5 linked regions of the Ovis aries genome follow. The protein of the gene in region 1 purifies or fractionates together with the protein of each later gene. This does not show direct contact. Links are inferred from orthologs where the notes say so. Each region holds a gene or a part of one and is shown in the gene's direction. Other genes may lie near its edges.

Evidence for each region.
Region 2: the proteins of SEH1L (region 1) and NUP98 fractionate together in Homo sapiens (co-fractionation; 3 studies listed by BioGRID and IntAct, with this or other methods). This does not show direct contact. The link is inferred for Ovis aries from reciprocal best matches to the Homo sapiens genes SEH1L and NUP98.
Region 3: the proteins of SEH1L (region 1) and NUP160 fractionate together in Homo sapiens (co-fractionation; 3 studies listed by BioGRID and IntAct, with this or other methods). This does not show direct contact. The link is inferred for Ovis aries from reciprocal best matches to the Homo sapiens genes SEH1L and NUP160.
Region 4: the proteins of SEH1L (region 1) and NUP85 purify together in Homo sapiens (affinity purification with western blotting; 4 studies listed by BioGRID and IntAct, with this or other methods). This does not show direct contact. The link is inferred for Ovis aries from reciprocal best matches to the Homo sapiens genes SEH1L and NUP85.
Region 5: the proteins of SEH1L (region 1) and NUP107 purify together in Homo sapiens (affinity purification with mass spectrometry; 5 studies listed by BioGRID and IntAct, with this or other methods). This does not show direct contact. The link is inferred for Ovis aries from reciprocal best matches to the Homo sapiens genes SEH1L and NUP107.

What each region holds. Positions count from the first base shown.
Region 1 is NC_056076.1:43,684,211-43,688,329, forward strand, and holds the start of SEH1L (nucleoporin SEH1), read left to right. Parts: upstream 1-1,319; 5' UTR 1,320-1,445; coding exon 1,446-1,556; intron 1,557-1,769; exon of another isoform or gene 1,770-2,063; intron 2,064-4,119. UniProt on the Homo sapiens protein: Component of the Nup107-160 subcomplex of the nuclear pore complex (NPC). The Nup107-160 subcomplex is required for the assembly of a functional NPC.
Region 2 is NC_056068.1:50,027,172-50,031,420, forward strand, and holds the start of NUP98 (nuclear pore complex protein Nup98-Nup96), read left to right. Parts: upstream 1-1,449; 5' UTR 1,450-1,612; intron 1,613-4,249. UniProt on the Homo sapiens protein: Plays a role in the nuclear pore complex (NPC) assembly and/or maintenance. NUP98 and NUP96 are involved in the bidirectional transport across the NPC. May anchor NUP153 and TPR to the NPC.
Region 3 is NC_056068.1:76,491,470-76,495,614, reverse strand, and holds the start of NUP160 (nuclear pore complex protein Nup160), read left to right. Parts: upstream 1-1,345; 5' UTR 1,346-1,359; coding exon 1,360-1,459; intron 1,460-1,734; coding exon 1,735-1,846; intron 1,847-4,145. UniProt on the Homo sapiens protein: Functions as a component of the nuclear pore complex (NPC). Involved in poly(A)+ RNA transport.
Region 4 is NC_056064.1:55,609,176-55,613,327, reverse strand, and holds the start of NUP85 (nuclear pore complex protein Nup85), read left to right. Parts: upstream 1-1,352; 5' UTR 1,353-1,428; coding exon of another isoform or gene 1,429-1,461; 5' UTR 1,462-2,102; coding exon 2,103-2,168; intron 2,169-4,152. UniProt on the Homo sapiens protein: Essential component of the nuclear pore complex (NPC) that seems to be required for NPC assembly and maintenance. As part of the NPC Nup107-160 subcomplex plays a role in RNA export and in tethering NUP96/Nup98 and NUP153 to the nucleus.
Region 5 is NC_056056.1:151,301,037-151,305,149, reverse strand, and holds the start of NUP107 (nuclear pore complex protein Nup107), read left to right. Parts: upstream 1-1,313; 5' UTR 1,314-1,402; coding exon 1,403-1,410; intron 1,411-2,583; coding exon 2,584-2,675; intron 2,676-3,396; coding exon 3,397-3,483; coding exon of another isoform or gene 3,484-3,484; intron 3,485-4,099; coding exon of another isoform or gene 4,100-4,113. UniProt on the Homo sapiens protein: Plays a role in the nuclear pore complex (NPC) assembly and/or maintenance. Required for the assembly of peripheral proteins into the NPC. May anchor NUP62 to the NPC. Involved in nephrogenesis.

The sequences.
Region 1 (4,119 bases):
CAAGGATTCTCCCTGTTGCCCAACCACATTCCAGAACCAGGGAAATAACCACAGGATGGCTCTGAGGACCCACTGTGAGACACACCTGAGCCAGAAAACCTCTGGTCAGCTGACCTCCTCAAGGCCTGCTCTGACTGTGGATCACAGTGATATTTTGGGTCTCCTGAAATCAGGGTCAGTTTGGAGCTGCGTGTTCAGAATTCTTGAAAAATCTAATTATTTCCTTTTCCCCAAAGCATAATCACCGTGGTAAAAGGCCCCAGGTCCCCTGAGGGAAGGCTGGAAGATTCAGTGTGTATTTTTGGCAGCACAGTAGGGTCTTTCCTCAAGGTGATCTGGCTTCCTCTTTAATCAAGGGTTTTTGGGTCTGTAAACTGGGTCAAGTGTGACGTTGATTGTAAGGCTGTCACGCTGCTTTTATGAGTTTTGTGAGTATTTTCTCTGGCAACGAGTGTCTTTGTTCTTAGAGCAGTTACAGTAGTTCTCAGTTATCATACCGGCAACTCACGGATTTGGGGGTTTGCCCTTGACGTACCGGGCTACAGTCCACACTGTCACATGTATGTGTCCTCTTAAAGTACCAATAAAATCTTACCATTTTTAGTGGGAGGGGAAAGGCAAGTGAAGGCATTTCCAGTAAGGCCAAACCATTTCTGCAGATCCTGGGGGAACGGGGACTGCCGGGGCCACGCACCCCCCCACCCCTCACCACACACGCTGGACACACGCTCCTTACGCACCGCTAATCTCTGCGCTCACTCCCGGGGCCCTGCCCGACTCCCGGGGCCCAACGCGATGAGACTGACTCAGGGCCGAGGCTTGCAAATGATAGTCTTAACCTTCACATTCCCCTAATCTCCACACTTCGACGGAGAGCTCCTTAAGTCCCCTTAGGGCACCGACGGGCTTTCCTTGTGGCTAAGCGGGTAAAGAATCCGCCCGCAATGCGGGGAGTCCTGGCTTCGATCCCTGGATTGGGAAGACTCCCTGAAAGAGAGAAAGGCTACACACTCCAGTATTCTGGCCTGGAGAATTCCATGGACTGTATAGTGGATGGGGTCGCAAAGAGTCGGACACGACTGAGCGACTTTTACTTCATTTCACTTCAGGGCACAGACTGCGCCGCAGCCAGGCGACAGAGTAACTACCGCGGCCCCCGCCACGCGGTGTTTGACCCACACCCGGGCCTTGACTGGTACGGCGAACCGGGGGCGGAGCCTTGCGGGGTGTGACGGGCAGGGGGCGGGGTCCCGCGGGGTATGACGGGCCAGGGGGCGGGGCCCCGCGGGGTATGACGGGCCAGGGGGCGGGGCGGGCGCAGCCCGGGGCGCGCGAGCAGCACGCGGAAAGCACCGCCGTGCGCGCCCCGGCGCCGGGTCCGGGTGGGCTGCGGTCCGCGCGCCGCCGCGCCGCCGTGTAGGAGGCGGGAGGGGTCCGGCGCAGCCATGTTCGTGGCGCGCAGTATCGCGGCGGACCACAAGGATCTCATCCATGATGTGTCTTTTGACTTCCACGGGCGGCGGATGGCCACCTGCTCCAGCGACCAAAGCGTCAAGGTGCGGGCCGAGCCTGGAAGCGGGCGGGACCTTGCGCGGCCCGCTGTCCGAGCGAGGGGCGCGTGGAGAGGGGAGTGCTCCCGAGTTGAGGCGCCTTGCCGGGCACGAGGCCCGGCGGCTTGGCCGGCGGGCGCCCTCCTCCCGGGTATTGTGGGGTCACTGCCGCCCGGGCCGCCTCTCCGCGGTTGTCTGCGTGCGTGCGTGCGTCACGGCGGCGGGCGCGCTCCCGCTGCGGGGGAAGCAGGGCGCTCCGATCGGCCAGGCTTGCCCTGGGCTCCAGGCTGGGGCCGGAGCACCTCGTGGGAGGGGGATGTCTCGCTTGGCGGTGGTCGGCGGGACCTAGGCCCGCTCCGCGGGCGCCCGTCGGATTGGGCTCCCTCCGTCCATGTATTCACAGCTGGGCCGCGGCTGCGCGGCCCTCGCTGACGGATCTGTGACGAGGCCCGGGTTTTCTCTCCGCCCGCCGCGGCCGCGTGACAGTCGCGATAATTGGCGTCCGTTAACCGAGTAGGTTTCCTTATCCGCTTAAAGCTGTCTTCTAGAGGATTGTCCCGTGTGCGGAGTATTTGTCGGGGTGTTGCAGTGAAAAAGCTTCGTTAATCCCGCTTTTTATGTTTTTTGGAAGTTTTCCTTAGGCTCATTCCAGTAAAGAAATTAATGAGTATTTTAAAAGCTCTTGAGAGTACTTGGTAGATTGTCTTTTTGAAGGTTGTACTGTTTTACAGCTGCCGGTGAAGAGTATCGGTGTGATAGTTGTCCGTGTCGGACATTATCATTGCATTTTTTTCTTTAGTGTTTTCGTTATTGCAGTGAACTACAGGTAACAAAATTTACCACCTTAACCGTTTTTATTAAGTATGTTTGTATCTTTGCATCGGTCACTGCCATCCTCAGTTTGCACTGTCCGCATTAAGCATGACTCACCGATCCCTGAAGCGTCCACCCCGGTCCCCGCCCTTGTACTTTCTGTCTCTGAATTTGGCTACTCCAGCGGCCTCATACAAGTGGGATCATACAGGATTTGTCTTTTTTGTGACTGGCTGATTTCACTTAGCTTAATGTTTTGAAGTTCATACGTGTTGTAGCATTTGTCATAATTTCCTTCCCGAGAAAAGGAAGCGTTTAAATAATCTAAAAACTTTTAAAGAGGCTGAGTATATGTATCTGCATATACCACATTTTACATATCACTCATCTGTTGGTGGAGTTTGGTTCCTTCTACATTTTAGTTGTGAACAGTGCTGCTGTGAATGTGGGTGAACAAGTATAGCTTTGAGACCTGCTTTCAACTCTTTTGGGTGCAGACCCAGAAGTGGAATTGCTGAATCACATGGCAATTCTATTTTTATTTGAAAAAATTTTAATAATTTTTATATATGTGTTGCTGTTCTTGGGCTTTCTCTAGTTGAGGAGAGCGAGGGCTGCTCATCGTTGTGGTGCTCCAGGCTTCTCATTAGCGGCGCTTCTTGTGGAGGATGGGCTCTCGGTCACGCAGGGTTCAGTAGTTGCGGGTCATCTGCTCAAGAAAACGGACTTGCGTTGGCAGGCAAATTCTATCCACCGGGGAAGTCCTGTTTGAAGTTTTATGAGGAGCCACAATACTGTTTTATCATTACATTTTTAAAAATTGATTTATTTGGGGGACATATTACATTTAAAAAACCTGGTTAAAATCTCACGTTATTGTAATGTCTATTTTTTGTTGGTATGAAGGTTCAGTGTTTTGTCTTTGACTGTTATATATACAGTTGAGTCTTGTTATTTGCAAGTTTTGTATTTGTGAATTTGCTTATTCTATAAAGTTTATTTGTAACCCCCAAAGCAACGCTCATGGTTATTTGTTGACATGACCAGGTGGCAGAAAAATTGGAGTTGTTCAGGTTGTGTTCCCAGCTGAGGTTGGACATGTGACACTCTGCCTTTTATTCAGGCTTTCATAGTGTAAACAAGCGTCCTTCTGAGTGTGTGTTTGGTGCCACATTTTTCACATTTTCATTCTTTTGGTGAATTTCACTGGCTGAAGTGGTCCTCAAGTGTAGTGCTGCATAATGTCCCACAGCAAAAAGGCTATGAGTGCCTTCCCGAAAAAGTATGTGTTAGGGGAGCTTCATTCAGACCTGAGTTACAGTGTTGGTGTGATTTCAGTTCAGTCACTCAGTTGCATCCGACTCTTTGTGACCCCATGGACTGCAGCACGCCAGGCTTCCCTGTCCTTCACCAACTCCTGGGGCTTGCTCAAACTCATGTCCATTGAGTCGGTGATGCCATCCAACCATTTCATCCCCTGTCCTTCCCTTCTCCTGCCTTCAGTCTTTTCCCAGCATCAGGGTCTTTTCCAGTGTTCAGTGTTAGTGAATCGATAATGTATACAAAATAAGGTGTTTGCAAACATGCACAGGTAAAACAAGGTTATTGATAGGTTGGTTGATAAATACATTGTGACCAGAGGCTCCTGTGAATTGTACCTGTTTCCTCTGTGGGAGAGTGGTCAGTATTGGCCCAGTGACTTTCTAGGGCAGCAGCACCATAAGTGCCTGACTTGAGTGGCACTGTTATCATCTCC
Region 2 (4,249 bases), on another chromosome or scaffold:
TCCCTTGTGGCTCAGCTGGTAGAGTCCGCCTGCAATGCGGGAGACCTGGGTTTGATCCCTGGGTTGGAAAGATCCCCTGGAGAGGGGAAAGGCTACCCACTCCAATATTCTGGCCTGGATAATTCTATAGACTGTATAGTCCATGCGGTCGCAAAGAGTCAGACTGAGCGACTTTCACTTTCACTTTCCACTTAGTCACTAGATCTAGTTTCCAGAACATGTTCAACTCACCCCTTTGAGATAATCTGTCTCCTGCTCTGGACTAGACCCTGGGGGGAAAGGAAAAGTGAACTCGCTCAGTTGTGTCCGACTCTTTGTGACCCCGTGGACTGTAGCCCGCCCGGATCCTCTGTCCACGGGGATTCTCCAGGCAAAAATACTGGGATGGGTTGCCATTTCCTTCTCCAGGGGATCTTCCCAACCCAGGGATCAAACCCGAGCCTCCTGTATGGCGGGCAGATGCTTTATCCTCTGAGCCACCAGGGAACACAAGAGGAAGGAACACCAATTTGAAAATAAAGCTTTAACTTCCAAGAGCCCCGCCCTGAAGATAAGACAGTAAGTAACAGAATACAAAGAAACAAAGCTGTAACAGAGGCTTGCCCAAGCATCACCCCAACTCGCTGGGACAGACTGATCCACAAAGGTATCCCAGAGGAGGCGGGATCATTTCAATTAGAACTTTAGGGGTTCCTAAAGTGCAGGTGGGAAAAAAGTCCCAATAATTGTTATTTGTACCAAACTTTAAGCTGAGCCATTCCCTTAGGGCATCACTAACACTCCCAATGCCTATGCTATGGATTCAGAGAGGGAGAGGTTATGTTGGGCTGGCATGGGTCAGGAGGCAAGAAGGCCAGGTTTGGGGGCCTTGGAGCAGCTGCAGGCGAGCTACTTAGATAGACCTAGGCGGGCCCTCCAGCTCCGCACGTGGTCTGGGCAGGAAATGAGGGCCGGACGACAGGAGCACTTTCCCATGACCACCCGCGGACTGAGGCAAAGGAAGGGTAGAACAGTTACCATGCCATTCTGGAGCTTCACTCTGATTGGCCCGAGTCTCAGCAGTCTGGGTGTCTCCGCTCCAGAGAAGGGGCGGAGCCTCGGCATAGCGTCATCACCCTTATCCCACCCCCCTCCCGATGTAGCCACTCACCAGCCCACTTCGAGGGGCCCTGTGTGACGTCACTACTCCCTCCCAGCCAACCGCGGCGACGAGGGGCGGCACTCCATGTCCCTCCTTACCGCCCCTCCCCTTTCCTCCCCCTAATTCCTTCGGTCCCGCCTCTTCCCCCCTCTCCTAGTCTCCCAAAGACAGCCCTCACGTTCGGTTTCAAAAGACCCGTGGTCCAATGACTAACAGGGCGGCTGTAGAGTGGCGGCGGCGTCTGCCAATGCGCAGACTGCGAGGGCGGAGCGCTCGCAGCGAGCCTCTGACGGCGGGCGGCGTGTGACGCAGTCGGGCCCTCTACGCGCAGCGCCCGGAGCGGCGGTCGGTATCGGTGGTGGCGGCGGCGGCGACGGTTTCGTGGCGGCCGCGCGCTGCTCTCTGAGCGGCGGGTGGTGGTCCGGCCTAGGCCTTCACTCCTGACACTTCTCCCCCGCCCCCAGCACCGCGGTAAGTCGGGAGCCAGGGTGGTGGAGGCCGGAGACCGGCAGGCTCCTCCTCCACTTTGGGAGGGCGGGTGCGCGGGGCGTCCCAGGCCCTCTCCGCGCCGAGTCTCGCGCCCTAGCGCGCACCTTCTGTCCTGAGGGAGGGGGCGGGTCTCGGGCCCCGAGGCCTGACCCTTCAGGCTTTGAGGAGGGATCGCTCTCTGTGGGTTCTGGGCCCGGGGGTCTCGCGTTGAAGCCTCCCTTGAGTGAGCGTTTCTCTAGCAGGTTGTACTCATTCATTTGCCCGTCAGTGATTAGGTGGGCAGGCCCTTTGCGGGGGCAGCGCCTTGAGAACCTGAGGGACGGTTTCCTCAGCACTTCCCTGATCATCTGCGGGATTGGGCTTTGTTTGCTTTGGCTTCTCCAAGGGGAAATTTGCAACCCCTGGGGAGGGTGAGTGGGTCTGGAGTTTGTGAGCTTATTAAAACTGTATCTGAGAATTAAGGTCATTTAATGGAGTGAAACCTTACTTTTTGTTCTCCCACGTGTCCCACATAAAGCTAGACGAGAAACAGGGTGAGGTTTCTGGATTACTTACTTTAGCCTTAAGGACCTTGGAAATTAAGTCAATTCCCCTACCCCATGTCACGTGCAAGTTTCATAGGTGGAGAAGCTGAGGCCCAGAGGAAAAACAGTACTAGAAAGTGCCAGAAATTTTTCTACTATACTGCCCTCCCTGGGCGTTCTAGCCCCCCATTACTGAGGATTCCCTTTAGAAAAGTGGAGGGGTCAAGATGGTGACATTGAGTAGTTGGAAGCAGAAACCTAGTTTTCAATATCGTTTCCGATTTGGTTGCTACCCGCCCAGTTCACCGTAAGGCAAACGCTTCCTTAGTGGAACGCTAGCCTAGACCATGAGAACTAAACTCAAAAGTTGAAGAACATCAGGGGTATCATGTATTGGGAATGAACTGATAAGGCTACATATTAGTGGCTAGTTTCCTGATGTAGGTCTGAAATTTTTATTTGTGTCGGCTACTGAGGATTCAGAAGAAAGGGTCCAGTTAGTGAGCTACAGTAGAGTTGAAATAGAAAACAGGAAATAAAGACAAGACTTAGAAAGATACACTAGCAGTCATTTGGCACTTCTTGTATCTTGGGACTCAACTCCTCTCTTACCGAATTCGAAAACATAGAATAAGGTGAGAAAATTAAACTATTTTGGGAGAAGAAGCTAGGGAAGAAAGAAGAGAGCAGTGATCATTCCCTGTGATAGTCTTATAAATTCAGAAAGAAAGAAACACTTGTTAGATGGCGTGTTTGGAACTTGTTGAAGTTTGGATATATAGAAAACAAACCAGAAGTTGGACAAGAAGGAGGTCCTGGGAAGTACTTTTGATAAATTTATTTTTTGACTCATCACTTTCCTCTTGTTTTGATGATGAAGCAAAAATTGAGAAATGTAGTGTATAAGAGCAGAAGCTGTAGTCTTATAATACTAAGAGGTGAACAGGGTGTGTTTTCTGTGCCATTTTCTCTTCTGGGAAGCCTCCCCCGGCATTCTTTCCCCTGCAGCCTTCTATAACACTTATTTGATACTTCAGTTTATGACACCAGTCATTTTGTATTTCAGCTGTGTCTTTTTATTAGACTGGTAAAAAGTTTTTTGTCTTGTATTCAGTTTGCTTTTCACATAGTAGGCCCTCAGTAAGTATGCTTGTCTGGATGGATAAACAAATTGGAGGAGTTAAGCCTAAAAGTAGTCTATAAAGAGGCTAGGTATTTGTGCACTCCTGAAATATCAGGCCCAGATAAGAGGACCCATACCATTTGTGTGTTATGTTGTACTTTGATACCTGACTGTTCATGTCCATTTGCTCCTAGACAGCTAATAACAAGCACAACTTTTAGGGAACCAGATTCATAGCTTGGAAATGTTACTTCCTTTGATACTTTTATAGTAGCAAGTAACCTTAGGAGGTAAGGGGTAGTAATACTGATGTTAAATTTCCAGTAAATAAAGATCACATCTGTAATTATGCAATCTTTTCAAAGCTTAAGGGAATAAGAAATTTAGTGATTTAACAATAAGTATTAGAGACAAAGTATATAAACAATGTTTCTTGAGAATTTGGCACATTCTGTGTGTTTAGAATTGAACCTAAGTATTTTTCATTTATGTATTGTATTTTACCCATTAGATACTCATAACACCCTCTCTCCAAGATTTAACATTCAAGAATGTCTTCAAACATTTTCAAATGTTACTTGAGAGGCAAAACTGCCCCTCAGTGAGATTGGTGCTCTACAGAGAACGTTCCCAATATTTCAATAAAAAATCTTACGTTTATCATACTTTGTCTATGTTTGTGGAGTCAGCTAATAAGTTGCATTTGGTTGAGATATCCTTGAAAACCCTTAAATTGTCAAAATCTGGGATGGGGAGCTAAAAAGAGTACTAGAGTTGCTTTCTTTATTTTCTCCTTCCATGTCTGTCACAGCCTCCCTTTCTCTGGGATAGGAGAAATTAGAGTCCTGTTTGAAAGGGGATAGGTCATTGGATAAATAGAGCAATATTTATTTCATTTTTTTGTGGAAAAAGGCAAAAGAGCTTGTACTTGAATTGATACAATTAAATGCGATGCTATATCTGGTCCTAAGA
Region 3 (4,145 bases), on another chromosome or scaffold:
GGCACTCTATCAGATCTAGTCCCTTAAATCTATTTCTCATTTCCACTGTATAATCATAAGGGATTTGATTTAGGTCATACCTGAGTGGTCTAGTGGTTTTCTCCACTTTCTTCAATTTAAGTCTGAATTTGGCAATAAGGAGTTCATGATCTGAGCCACAGTCAGCTCCCGGTCTTGTTTTTGCTGACTGTATAGAGGTTCTCCATCTTTGGCTGCAAAGAATATAATCAATCTGATTTCGGTATTGACCATCTGGTGATGTCCATGTGTAGAGTCTTGTCTTGTGTTATTGGAAGAGGGTGTTTGCTATGACCAGTGCATTCTCTTAGCAAAACTCTATTAGCCTTTGCCCTGCTTCATTCCATACTCCAAGGCCAAATTTGCCTGTTACTCCAGGTGTTTCTTGACTTCCTACTTTTGCATTCCAGTCCCCTATAATAAAAAGGACATCTTTTGCAGGTGTTAGTTCTAAAAGGTCTTGTAGGTCTTCATAGAACCATTCAACTTCAGCTTCTTCAGCGTTACTGGTTGGGGCATAGGCTTGGATTACTGTGATATTGAATGGTTTGCCTTGGAAACGAACAGAGATCATTCTGTCGTTTTTGAGATTGCATCCAAGTACTGCATTTCGGACTCTTTCGTTGACCATGATGGCTATTCCATTTCTTCTAACGGATTCCTGCCCATAGTAGTAGATATAATGGTCATCTGAGTTAAATTCACCCATTCCAGATGGGTGAATACCAGAATACATTACAGTTCATTATACAAAAATACTCGTATACAGTCTCTCGGAAAAATTCCAACACAAAAGGACACTCTGCCCTTCACTGCCCCCGCCCCCATCACCCACCATCCCATCCCCAAGGCTCGCTTAAGGGTGGGTGAATAAAAGGAGACAGAGCGGAGATGCACTGACAGATACCACGACTCAGGGAGAGATGACCGCAAGCTCGAAACCCAGTAGAGGGCGCCCGTCTGCCGGGCCTCCCGGGACCTCGCCCCTCCCGGCAGGCTGAGACCTGCGTCCCGCGCGGCGTTTTTAAAATGGAAACAAACCCGGCCACGCCCCCTGCCCCGAGGCCGCCGGGAAATATGGCGCCGCCGCTTGGGGCGTCCTAGCCGGCCACGCAAAGGTTTCCTCAGGTGGAGTCCGCAGGCTTCCCCTAGCCCTTTCTCCCTCGGCTCCCTCCCTGCGCACCTGATCTCCAGCTAACTCGATGGACACCTCAACGCAGGATCCGGCCGCCCCCGACCTCTCCGGACTTCTCCACCTGCCCGCCTGCCCCGCCCTCCGGAAGTGACGACACTCGCCCGGCCCTGCTGGTGTCCCGTCGGGCCTCGCGGCGGCGCGGGAAGATGGCGGCGGCGGGAGCCGTGGAACGGAGCTTCGTGGAGCTCGTCGGCGCTGAGCGCGAAAGGCCCAGGCACTTTCGGGAGTTCACCGTCTGCGGCATTGGTACGGCAGCATCCCAGCAGAGCGCGATCCGAACCTTCCCCTCGGGCCTCCCCTGTGGATTTCTCCATCCCAACCCCCGCCCCCCCGTTACCCTTCTGAGCCCACATGCCTGTTAGCACAGGAATCAGAGCTACCTTAGTGTCCTGCTGCCTCCTCTTCCCTCCCCTTTCATTCTGTATGGACTGTCAGTCCGTCCTCCTCTGCTTTCTCAGCGACCTCGGTCCGTGTCATGCCCAGAGAACCACGTGTGCAGGCTGACCACTCACCTTTTACAGGAACTGCAAATGCAGCGGCCGGAGCCGTGAAATGCAGTGAGAGCGCGGGAGGCTTCTACTATGTGGAAAGTGGCAAGTTGTTCTCCGTCACCAGAAACAGATTCATTCATTGGTGAGTGCTGTGTTTGGCAAGCCCTCTGGAAGGTCGGGTCGTTCGGCGGCTGAATTTTCCTGTCTGGCCCTGAGATGTCATTCATTTTCCGAGTGGTTGTAGACAGGAAAAGAAAAAAAGACTGCTTTCTATTTCTGTCTTAATCAGTGGAGAATTAAGGACACCCAGAGTTCTGGAAGAGTTACCCTATCAGGCAACACTAAAAGCAGAAGAAATGTAGCATAGGGGCTAAAGCCCCAAAGACCAGTTTTTAAACATGAGCCCGTTATGTATTTGTAGTGCTTTACATTCATCCTATGTGTTTGAGCCTTTACTTGTCAGGCACTGCTAGGTGTCCTGGGGACAAAATGACTAACAAAAACAATCACCGTTTTCATCATGCAAGGTGTGGCAGTGTAAGAGACGTGGACCTACCTTTCATGGGGCAGTTTTGAGAAGAAAAAAGGCATCAAGCTAATGTTCATGCATAGGTATATCAATACAGATTTTTCATTCTTGCCTCAGAGGAGAAGAATAGGGTTTTGAGAGGCTAATGGGAAGACCAAGTGTTATTGGTGGGGCTGGAGAGGCCTAAAGTAAGTCACATTTAACCTGAGATTGGAAGGGTGAAAGGTTAGCCAAGCAAGGTGTTGTGGGAGAGAGCATTTGAGCAAGTGGGATCACTGTCTCCAAAATCCATGAGGTGAAAAGAATTTGACAGGTTTGAGGAACTGACTAAAGATCTATGCGGCTTAACTGCAAATGGCAAAATGGAAAAGGACGTGAGCGATGCTGAGACTAGTAGCTAGGGTGGACTCATCATGAAGGACCTCAGGCTGTGCTTGGTCTCTGCTCTGGTGCATGGGCTTCTCATTACGGCAGCTTCTCGTTGCAGAGCACAGGCTCTAGAGCGTGGCCTTAGCTACTGCATAGCATATGGAGTCTTCCTAGGCCAGGGATCGAGCTGATGTCCCGAGACTTGGCAAGCAGATTCTTAACCACTAGACTACCAGGGAAGCCCCAAGATATGTGAATTTTATCCTGAGTATGTTGAGCAGTCACTGAAAGTCTATAAGCATGATCAAAATCACATTTTAAAATAATCATTCTGCTTTGTGTAAAATAGATTTGGGATGGATGGGTAAAATACAAAAGAACAGTTTGCTTTTATGATGGACCAAGTAAGACATTGAAAGGTTGTTAAATCACACAAAGATGCTGGGATTCTTGGCCCCCGGAGGAGAAGAATTCAATCCAGGGCCAGAGACGAGGTTTGATCGCTCAGAGCTTTTGTGTAATAAAGTTTTATTATAGTATAAAGGAGATAGAGAATGCTTCTGACATAGGCATCAGAAGGGTTCAGAAAGAGTACCCCCCTGTTAGTCTTCAGCTGAATGTTATATAACCCACTCCAGTACTCTTGCCTGGAAAATCCCATGGACGGAGGAGCCTGGTGGGCTGCAGTCCATGGGGTCGCTAGGAGTCGGACACGACTGAACGACTTCACTTTCACTTTTCACTTTCATGCATTGGAGAAGGAAATGGCAACCCACTCCAGTGTTCTTGCCTGGAGAATCCCAGGACGGGGGAGCCTGGTGAGCTGCCGTCTATGGGGTCACACAGAGTTGGACACGACTGAAGCGACTTAGCAGCAGCAGCAGCATTCTGTTAATGAAAGAAAGGAATGTCTTGAAACTCAGAATGGCACCAGGCCCCTCACCCATAAGATGCATTTTGGGATAATCTTGGCACCAAATGGTTCATCCTGGGCCATAAAATGATTAACTTGAATCTTGAAGAAGGGCAGATCACCATACAAATAGTTTCATTTACATAGATTAGAGGAACAGTATCTGAGTATAACATACTGGTTTGTCAAGGAGGTTCTGAGCCAAGAGGTGGAACCAACTTGAAGATAGAGTTTGGGGTAGATGCATAGTATGTTAACATAGCTTAAGATAAACATTTCCATAAGAAAAAGGCATTGGTTGTCTCTAGGTTTGAGAATAGTTAACTTCAGGTGAAACCAGGTGTCATTATGGCAACACAGTATTTTAAGGGAAACCTCCTTTTAAATGTGTATAGAGAAGGAAAAAATATCGATAGTTTGTTTCCTCCTGCTTCCTTCTGCCGCTTAAGAGAGATAAAAATGTCTGACACTTGCAGGCTATTTCCTCCGTTTGGAGACCGCTGGCCTTCATGCCTGTTACCCTCTCAACATGTTGGTGACTCAGCTGTGGGAGTAGCTAGAAAAACAGAGATAGATGGATTCGAGATACACTTAGAGGGTAGCTTCATTAGGACCAGGTGATAGACTGAC
Region 4 (4,152 bases), on another chromosome or scaffold:
AATTTCTTTTCTAGATAATAAGAGCTGCTACATTTTCAGGCACCGTTTCCAAAGGTTTAAGATATCGAATTAGTTCCAGCTTGTTTAAAAAAAAATGCGCTTATTTGGGAATTTAGAACCAGTAATATTCTCTTCTTTGTATGTCTGCTGCTGCTGCCGCTGCTGCTAAGTCGCTTCAGTCGTGTCCGATTCTGTGCGACCCCAGAGAGGGCAGCCCACCAGGCTCCCCCGTCCCTGGGATTCTCCAGGCAAGAACACTGGAGTGGGTTGCCATTTCCTTCTCCAATGCATGAAAGTGAAAAGTGAAAGTGAAGTCGCTCAGTCGTGTCCAACCCTCAGCGACCCCATGGACTGCAGCCTTCCAGGCTTCTCCGTCCATGGGATTTTCCAGGCAAGAATACTGGAGTGGGGTGCCATTGCCTTCTCCGTCTTTGTATGTGTATACATTTGTAAACATGGCACTCACAAAATAAATAACTCCTTTAGGTCACCGAAGCACTTTTGAGGTTTTCCATAACAAGATCTGGGATTCAAATTCCCTGATTTGATTTTTTCTCCTGCTTTTCTTTGGTGAGATAACAAATCAGTTGTTCAGTCGCTAAGCCGCGTTCGACTCTTGCGACTCCATGAACTGTAGTCCGCCAGGCTCCTCTGTCCATGGGATTTTCCCAGGCAAGAGTATGAGAGGGTTGCCATTTTCTTCTGTAGGGGATCTTTCCCACCCCGGGATCGAACCCGCGTCTCGGTATTCTTGACCACTGAGCCACCTGGGAAGCCCATAACAAACCAGTATTTGTGTTCAACTGAGCCCAGGGGTCTCCGTTTCCTAGCTGTTTCAGCTGCATCAATCTCGTCCCCCTCACGCCTCTGGAGCCTTTTGGGGTAGGGGCTGGTGACGAATACCTTCGTACACAAGCCCGATGGACCAACGGGGCTCCTGCCACGGAAAAAGCAGCGGCGCCGACGACTGGAGCCTGCAGACCGAGGCGCGGGAAGGAAACCCAGGCTCGCCAGAGGTGGTGAACTCGCTCCCGCCGGGGCCAAACCGAGAGCTCGCCCTCGACCGCGCACGCGCAGCCGCCTCCCCGCCGCTCCCGCCGTCTCCGGGGGGCCTTCTTTCCGCCCGGCTCAGGGGTGTCCGCGGCGGCGCCGGCTCTGGCGAAAGGGGTCCCGTGAGGGCAGGCCGCCCCTAGTGCTGCCTTCCCCGTTCGTGTGGTCGAGGCCAGAAGGAGGGGCGCGTGGGCAGCGCCGCAGAGCGGGTGGCCGAGGCTCTGAGGAGAAGGCCCCGCCGCGGCGGGCCTCTGGGCCTGCAGGCAGTGCGGGAGGCGCTCACGCGCGGGGTCCTCTCTCGCAGCCGGCCCTGAGCCGGAGCCCTGAGGCGCGAGCCCTGGCGGCCCCGCGAGTTCCCGGCGGCTGTGGTGCGGCGCTATGGAGGAGTTCGACAGCGAGCCGACGGTCACTGTAAGGGGGCCCCGAACAGTACGCTCTCCCCCGCCCTGGGGCCCGGAGATTGGGTCCGCCTCGTCCCTGCCGCTGGCAGGGTGCCCGGCCCCTTCCCTCAGCACAGTTGCCCCCCGTTCGGAAGTCGCATTAATTCGCTCCCCGCGTGTGGGTCGTGGTGGTCGCTGGGTTTCTGCTCCCATGTGTATTCTGAGGAATACCTGGCCCTGGAGACCGCCCCCCCAACTCTGTTCCTTTCTGTCCCTTGCCTCCCCGACCTCCCTGCTTCTCTGGCTTTTCCTGTTGGGCTAAAGCTTTAATGAGCGGGTTGGAGCCAGGCGGAGATATTGTACGGCTTTTTTTCTCCCAGCGGAGCAAAGCTTCACGTCGCAGCCCCCTGAGCCTGGCTTCTGCTTGAGCAGGCCGTAGGTTTACCAAGTATAGTTCTCTTGGGAGACTGCTGTTGTTCAGTGGCCCAGTCGTGTCCGACTCTTTGCGACCCCATGGACTGCAGCACGCCAGGCCTCCCTGTCCCTCACCACCTCCCGGAGTTTGCTTAAGTTCAAGTTCATTCCATCCTTGATGCCGTCGCTTCATCTCGTCCTCTGACGCCCTCTGCTCCTCCTGCCCTCGATCTTTCTCAACATCAGGGACTTTGCCAAATGAGTCGTCTGTTCTCATCAGATGACCAAAATACTGGAGCTTCAGCTTCAGCAACAGTCCCTCCAGTGAGTATTCAGGATTGACCTCCCTTAAGATTGACTGGTTTGATCTCCTTCCTGTCCAAGGGACTTTCAGGAGTCTTCTCCAGCACCACAGTTCGAAGGCATCAATTCTTTGGCATTCTGCCTTCTTTATGGTCCAGCTCTCACAACTGTACATGACCCCTGGGAAGACCATATCGTTGACAACACGAACCTTTGTTGGTAATGTCTCTGCTTTTCAACTCACTGCCTAGGTTTGTCATCACTTTCCTGTCAAGAAGCAATTGTGTTTGATTTCATGGCTGCATTCACTATCTGCAGAGATTTTGGAGCTCAAGAGGAAATCTGTCATTACTTCCACCTTTCCCCCTTCTATTTGCTGCAGTGGTGATTGCAGCCATGAAATTAAAAGAGGCTTACTCCTTGGAAGGAAAGTTATGACCAACCTAGATAGCATATTCAAAAGCAGAGACATTACGTTGCCAACAGAGGTCCGTCTAGTCAAGGCTATGGTTTTTCCAGTGGTCATGTATGGATGCGAGAGTTGGACTGTGAAGAAAGCTGAGCACCGAAGAATTGATGTTTTTGAACTGTGGTGCTGGAGAAGACTCTTGAGAGTCCCATGGACTGCAAGATCCAACCAGTCCATTCTAAGGGAGATCAGTCGTGGGTGTTCTTTGGAAGGACTGATGCTAAAGCTGAAACTCCAATACTTTGGCCACCTCATGCAAAGAGTTGACTCATTGGAAAAGGCTCTGATGCTGGGAGGGATTGGGGGCAGGAGGAGAAGGGGACGACTGAGGATGAGATGGCTGGATGGCATCACGGACTTGATGGACATGAGTCTGAGTGAACTCCGGGGGTTGGTGATGGACAGGGAGGCCTGGTGTGCTGCAATTCATGGGGTCGCAAAGAGTCGGACATGACTGAGCAACTGAACTCAACTGAACTGAATGGAGCCAGATGCCATGATCTTAGTTTTTTTTAATATTTAGCCTTAAGCTGACTCTTTCACTCTCCTCCACACTCATCAAGAGGCTCTTTAGTTCCTCTTCACTTTCTGCCATTAGGGTGGTGTCATCATCTAAGTCTGTTGATGTTTCTCCTGCTTCTAACTTTGCTTCTTTGCCATTTAGCAGGGCTTACAGGTTACCAAGAGCTAAGAGGTGTAGAACAAGCCTAAGTGGACAAATGGAAATATTTGTCAGGGAGTATTTCTTAGGAGACAGGTGTGATGGTCTGGTATTCCCATCTCTCTAAGAGCTTTCCACAGTTTGTCATGATCCACACAGTCAAAGGCTTTAGGGTAGTTGATGAAGCAGAGATAGATGTTTTTTTGAAATTCCCTTGCTTTCTGTATCATCCAGCAAATGTTGGCAATTTGATCTCTAGTTCCTCTTTCTTTTCTAAGCCCAGCTTGGACATCTGGAAGTTCTTGGTTCGCATAATGCTTCAGCCTAGCATGCAAGATTTTAAGCATGATCTTACTAGCATGGGAGATGAGTGCAATTGTCTGATGGTTAGCACATTCTTTGGTACTACCCTTCTTGGGAATTGAGATGAAGATTACCTTTTCCAGTCATGTGGCCACTGCTGGGTCTTCCAGACTTGCTGACATAATGAATGCAAATCCTTGATGGTATTCTCCTTCAGGGATTTGAGTAGTTCTGCTGGAATTTCATCACATCCACTAGCTTTATTAACAGCAGTGCTTCTCCTAAGGCCCACTTGACTTTGCACTCCAGAATGTCTGACTCTGGGTGACTAACTACAACCGGACTAACTAGTAATCCGGTTCATTAAGATCTTTTTTATACAGTTCTTCCATGTATTCTTTCTATCTCTTCTTGATCTTTTCAGCATCTACTAGGTCTCGGGAGAATACTCCTGCTTTTTCATTGCTCTGTTTGCTTTCACATCTGTTTGAACTCTCAGGAGAGTATGTCAGATGTGGATGATATATGATGCTTAGAAGGAGATTCATGGCTGTTAGAAGAGGGATACCTAT
Region 5 (4,113 bases), on another chromosome or scaffold:
TCTCAGCTCCCGGACCAGGGATGAAAACTACACCCATTTCAGTGGAAGGCAAAGTCTTAACAATTGGACCTCCAGGGTAGTTTCCTGGTACACTTTTTACACAAATGTTCCCTCTTTACGTATGAACTGAACCTTGGAGGTAATTCTTTGCTCCAAACTGCTCTTCCGTTTTACTGTGTGCCTTATGGTCAATCACCGCAAATACATTTTATAATAAAACACTTTACAATTCATTTGCCAGGGGACACATGGCAAGAACCTGAAACAGGCTCCTACTTTGAATAAACCTGATTCCAGTACTGACAAAAAAACATTAAGGCCACATTTCATTTTCCATTAAGAGACAAGTACTCTTTTATACAAGAAAAATTAGAATATGAAAAAAAAAGAGGGTACTAGGGTGAGACTCAAATAGTTATTGATGGAGGAGAAAATTAACATTTCGATGACTACTATGTGCGATGCACCTTTGACATCTCGTCTTAATCCTCCCAAGAACTCTGTGATGAACGCGTTATCTCCATTTTACAGGCAAGGAATCTGCAGCGCCGGGGTTTCTAACCTAGATGGAGCTCAACGCCACGTTTTTTCAAAACCCCACGCTGTCTCAGCAGGAATTAGGTATGAAGAAGTCCTCCTAGAACGACATTTCCCAGGATTAGGGTGGAATATATCAACAAATGCCTAAGGAAAACGTAAACTTATTCCTTTAGGGCTAGAATATACAGCTTTTTGACTACTGCACTTTGAAATAGAGGGCGATACCAACACCTTTTACACTTTTTAAGACAGGTGATCATTTTCTCCTTAATAGGGAAATATACCAAGTAAAGAATAATTAGCCACTATGGAAAACAGTTTCAAAGACTGTAAGGGGTTTACACTTCAGCTCAAACAAGGTGAGTACAGTCAGAGATATAAGAACCTCCAAGATGTAGAGCAGAGCCAGCACGTCTGAATTCAACGACCAGGGTGTTTCCCATAGAGTATGAGGAAATGGCTTCACGTTTTTCTATACCATCAATATACATCAGGACCTCTAGCAGGACACCGGCGCCTGGACCACGCCTCACAAATGTCAGTCAAGCAAAGTGGCGGCCGCGCAGCACGGATAAACGATCAGGCCCCGCCTCCTACCCCACTTCTACCCCGCCCCTGGTCCGGCCCTGCCCAGCCCGGAGCCGTTAATCGCCGACACAACTTTGCGCCTGCGCAGGCCGAAAGTGCGGCTTTGTGCATGCGCCTAGAGGGAAAGTTGGTTCTTTTCCCCTCCCACCCCTCGCGATAACATGAGAACTTGCTTCCAGGTCGAAGGGTTTACTTCCGGTGAGCGGGTAGGCTGAAACGCGGTGGCTAAAGTGGAGTTGAGTTTGCAAAGTTCTTGCTGGAGAAGGCTGTAGCCATGGACAGGTAAGTTCTGGTGGTGAAGGCTGAAGTCGATCACTTTCCTCCCCAGCGTGTTGGAGGAATGAAACAGGTGAAACCCGACTCAGAGGAAGCAGACGAGGGCCTGGGTGCTGATTCTAGGCATCCTTTTCCGGCTGGAAGACTGCAGCTAAGGGAGAAAGGCCGCTTGGGCCGGGGACGGATATGGTCCTTGCCAAGATCCTTGAATAACTCATCTTTATGTAGGGGCCTGATGAGTTATTCAATCCTATGAAGGTAGCTACTGTGATCCTCTTTTCATACATAGAATTGAGGCTAAAAGAGGTTAAGGAACTTGATCAGTTAGGAAGCTAACAAAGGAAGCTAAGAACCAAGTTGCCAACCTGGATATGTGTTTCTAGATTCTAGGGGGCTGTTTGATTCAGCAGATAGTATTCACCAGATAGACCAAAGAGGTGAATGTAGGCCTCTGAAAAGAATGCCTACAAAGGTATAAAGGTGTAAGGATATGAAAGTATAGCTTAATGGTCACATGCAGTGTGTGTTTGTATGAAAGTGATGTTTGTGGCTGAACTGGTAAGCTGGGGTCAGATTATAAAAGCCATGGTAGGAAATTTGGACTTGATTCTGTAGGCCAGAGATATCTATCTGAAGATTTCAAGTGGAGGAAATGCACATTAGATTCTTAAGATACAGGTCTCATAATACACACAATTTATTTTCTAGACTTTGGGCTGAGAATGTCTGTGACTGTAATAGTACTGAGATAGACGACACCCTTAGTGTACTCTGGGAAGAAAAGCTTGAAGGATCATTTCTTTCCAATTTATTAGATTTATTTTTTATTTAGTTTCCCAAGTCACCAGCTTAGAAGTATCCATGGTTTGAAGTACTTTGGAGACTACAGACATCCTTTTAAGAGTTCCTGCAACTTTAGGAACCTCCTCAATCCAAGGAAGTAAGGTTTATCTTCAGGAAGCAATTATTTAAAGCAGTGTTAGAATATAGATTTAGATTCCAAGTGTTAAAATAATTCCAGAGGAGGAAAAAATTAACACGTAAGTCAGAGAAGACTTTATGCGGGTAAAATTTGAGCAGGACTTTGAGAGATAAGCTGGATTTGGTAATGATAGAAGTTTTTTTTGCAAATGCTCCTTTCTCATTTCATTCATGTGAATTTGATTATTGCCATTTTAGGAGTGGCTTTGGAGAGATGTCATCTCCTGTGATCCGGGAGGCAGAGGTGACTCGGACTGCACGCAAACAGAGTGCCCAAAAAAGAGCTTTAAGTATCCTTTGCATTTTAAGCATCATTATAAAAATTGTAACATGTTTGGAATTAGCATTATAGACTTCATAGTGATATTAAACACTAGCTGCAATAAAATACTGTGGAAATTAATTTTTTTAACTCTCCAGATGTGTTATTTGGTAAATATGATGCTGAAATTCAGTGAGATTCATATTTCCTTGAAAATAAGGATGTTCCATTTTACTGCTAACTGTCATATTGTGGTTAGCTTTTGCTGAGGTTAGATTTTCTTTATTATTTGAGTTCTAAGAACTCTTAGTTCAGTGTGTGGTAACCTAAGACTTGAGCACTTAGTTCAAGACTGTAGTAACTGATAACTAGAATTTAAAGGGGAAAAGGAATTATTTACTCTTTGCATAGAAAATATGGTAGCTATAAAATACCTTGTCCTTGAAAAACATATTCTCATATTTTGTATAGTATAAATATGGTTCATGCTGGAAGGGATTGGGGGCAGGAGGAGAAGGGGACGACAGAGGATGAGATGGCTGGATGGTATCACCAACTCTATGGACATGAGTTTGGATAAACTCCGGGAGTTGCTGATGGACAGGGAGGCCTGGCATGCTGTGATTCATGGGGTCGCAAAGAGTCGGACACGACTGAGCGACTGAACTGAACTGAACTGAAATATGGTTCATTCTAACTTTAGTGATGTTTTTTTCTATACAAAAAACTTTCTTTAACATTTCCTGTAGTTCGGGTAGCCCAAGATGAAATTTTTTCTAATACCACTCCAAGAAACCAGGTTATGCCCCGAACTCCCAGCTCATTTCGACAACCTTGTAAGATTTTTTTGCTTTTAAAGCATTTAATAATGATAACAGTAATAGCAGCTAATACTGTAATATTATATTTTATAAGTTATTTTTAATTAAGAACAAATAATAGGGATTGCACTTACTATTTGTTGAACTCTTACCATGTGTAAGGCTTTACATAATTGCATAATAGCTGTGAAAGTAGATATTGTCTCTATTTTGTCAAATCTGAACATGAGAACTAGAGAAGTTGATTAATGCAGATAAAATAGCTAGGTAAGTATGTAAGTAATGGAACCAAAATTCAAATCATAATCTGCTTACTTCAGAGTCCATGTCCTTTATACTATCGTATGCTTTATAAAATTAGAATTTGATAAATTCATGAACTCATGAGTGTCTTTTTTTTTTTTTATGTTCAGTTACGTTATAATGACAGCATTTCTGTTTGCAGTAAAATTTTTTTGGTGGGCTCAGTAGTACCAAAAGTTCGTATTTAGAAAAATAAGTTAAATCTTGATATTATAGAAATGTTAATATTGAAAGTATATTTGGTTAGAATCTAAATAATTGAAAAGTGAAAATTGTTCGTTTTTATTTGCTTGTTTCATTTTCATGATCAATGCTCATGCACTTCGAATTCTTTTTACTAAT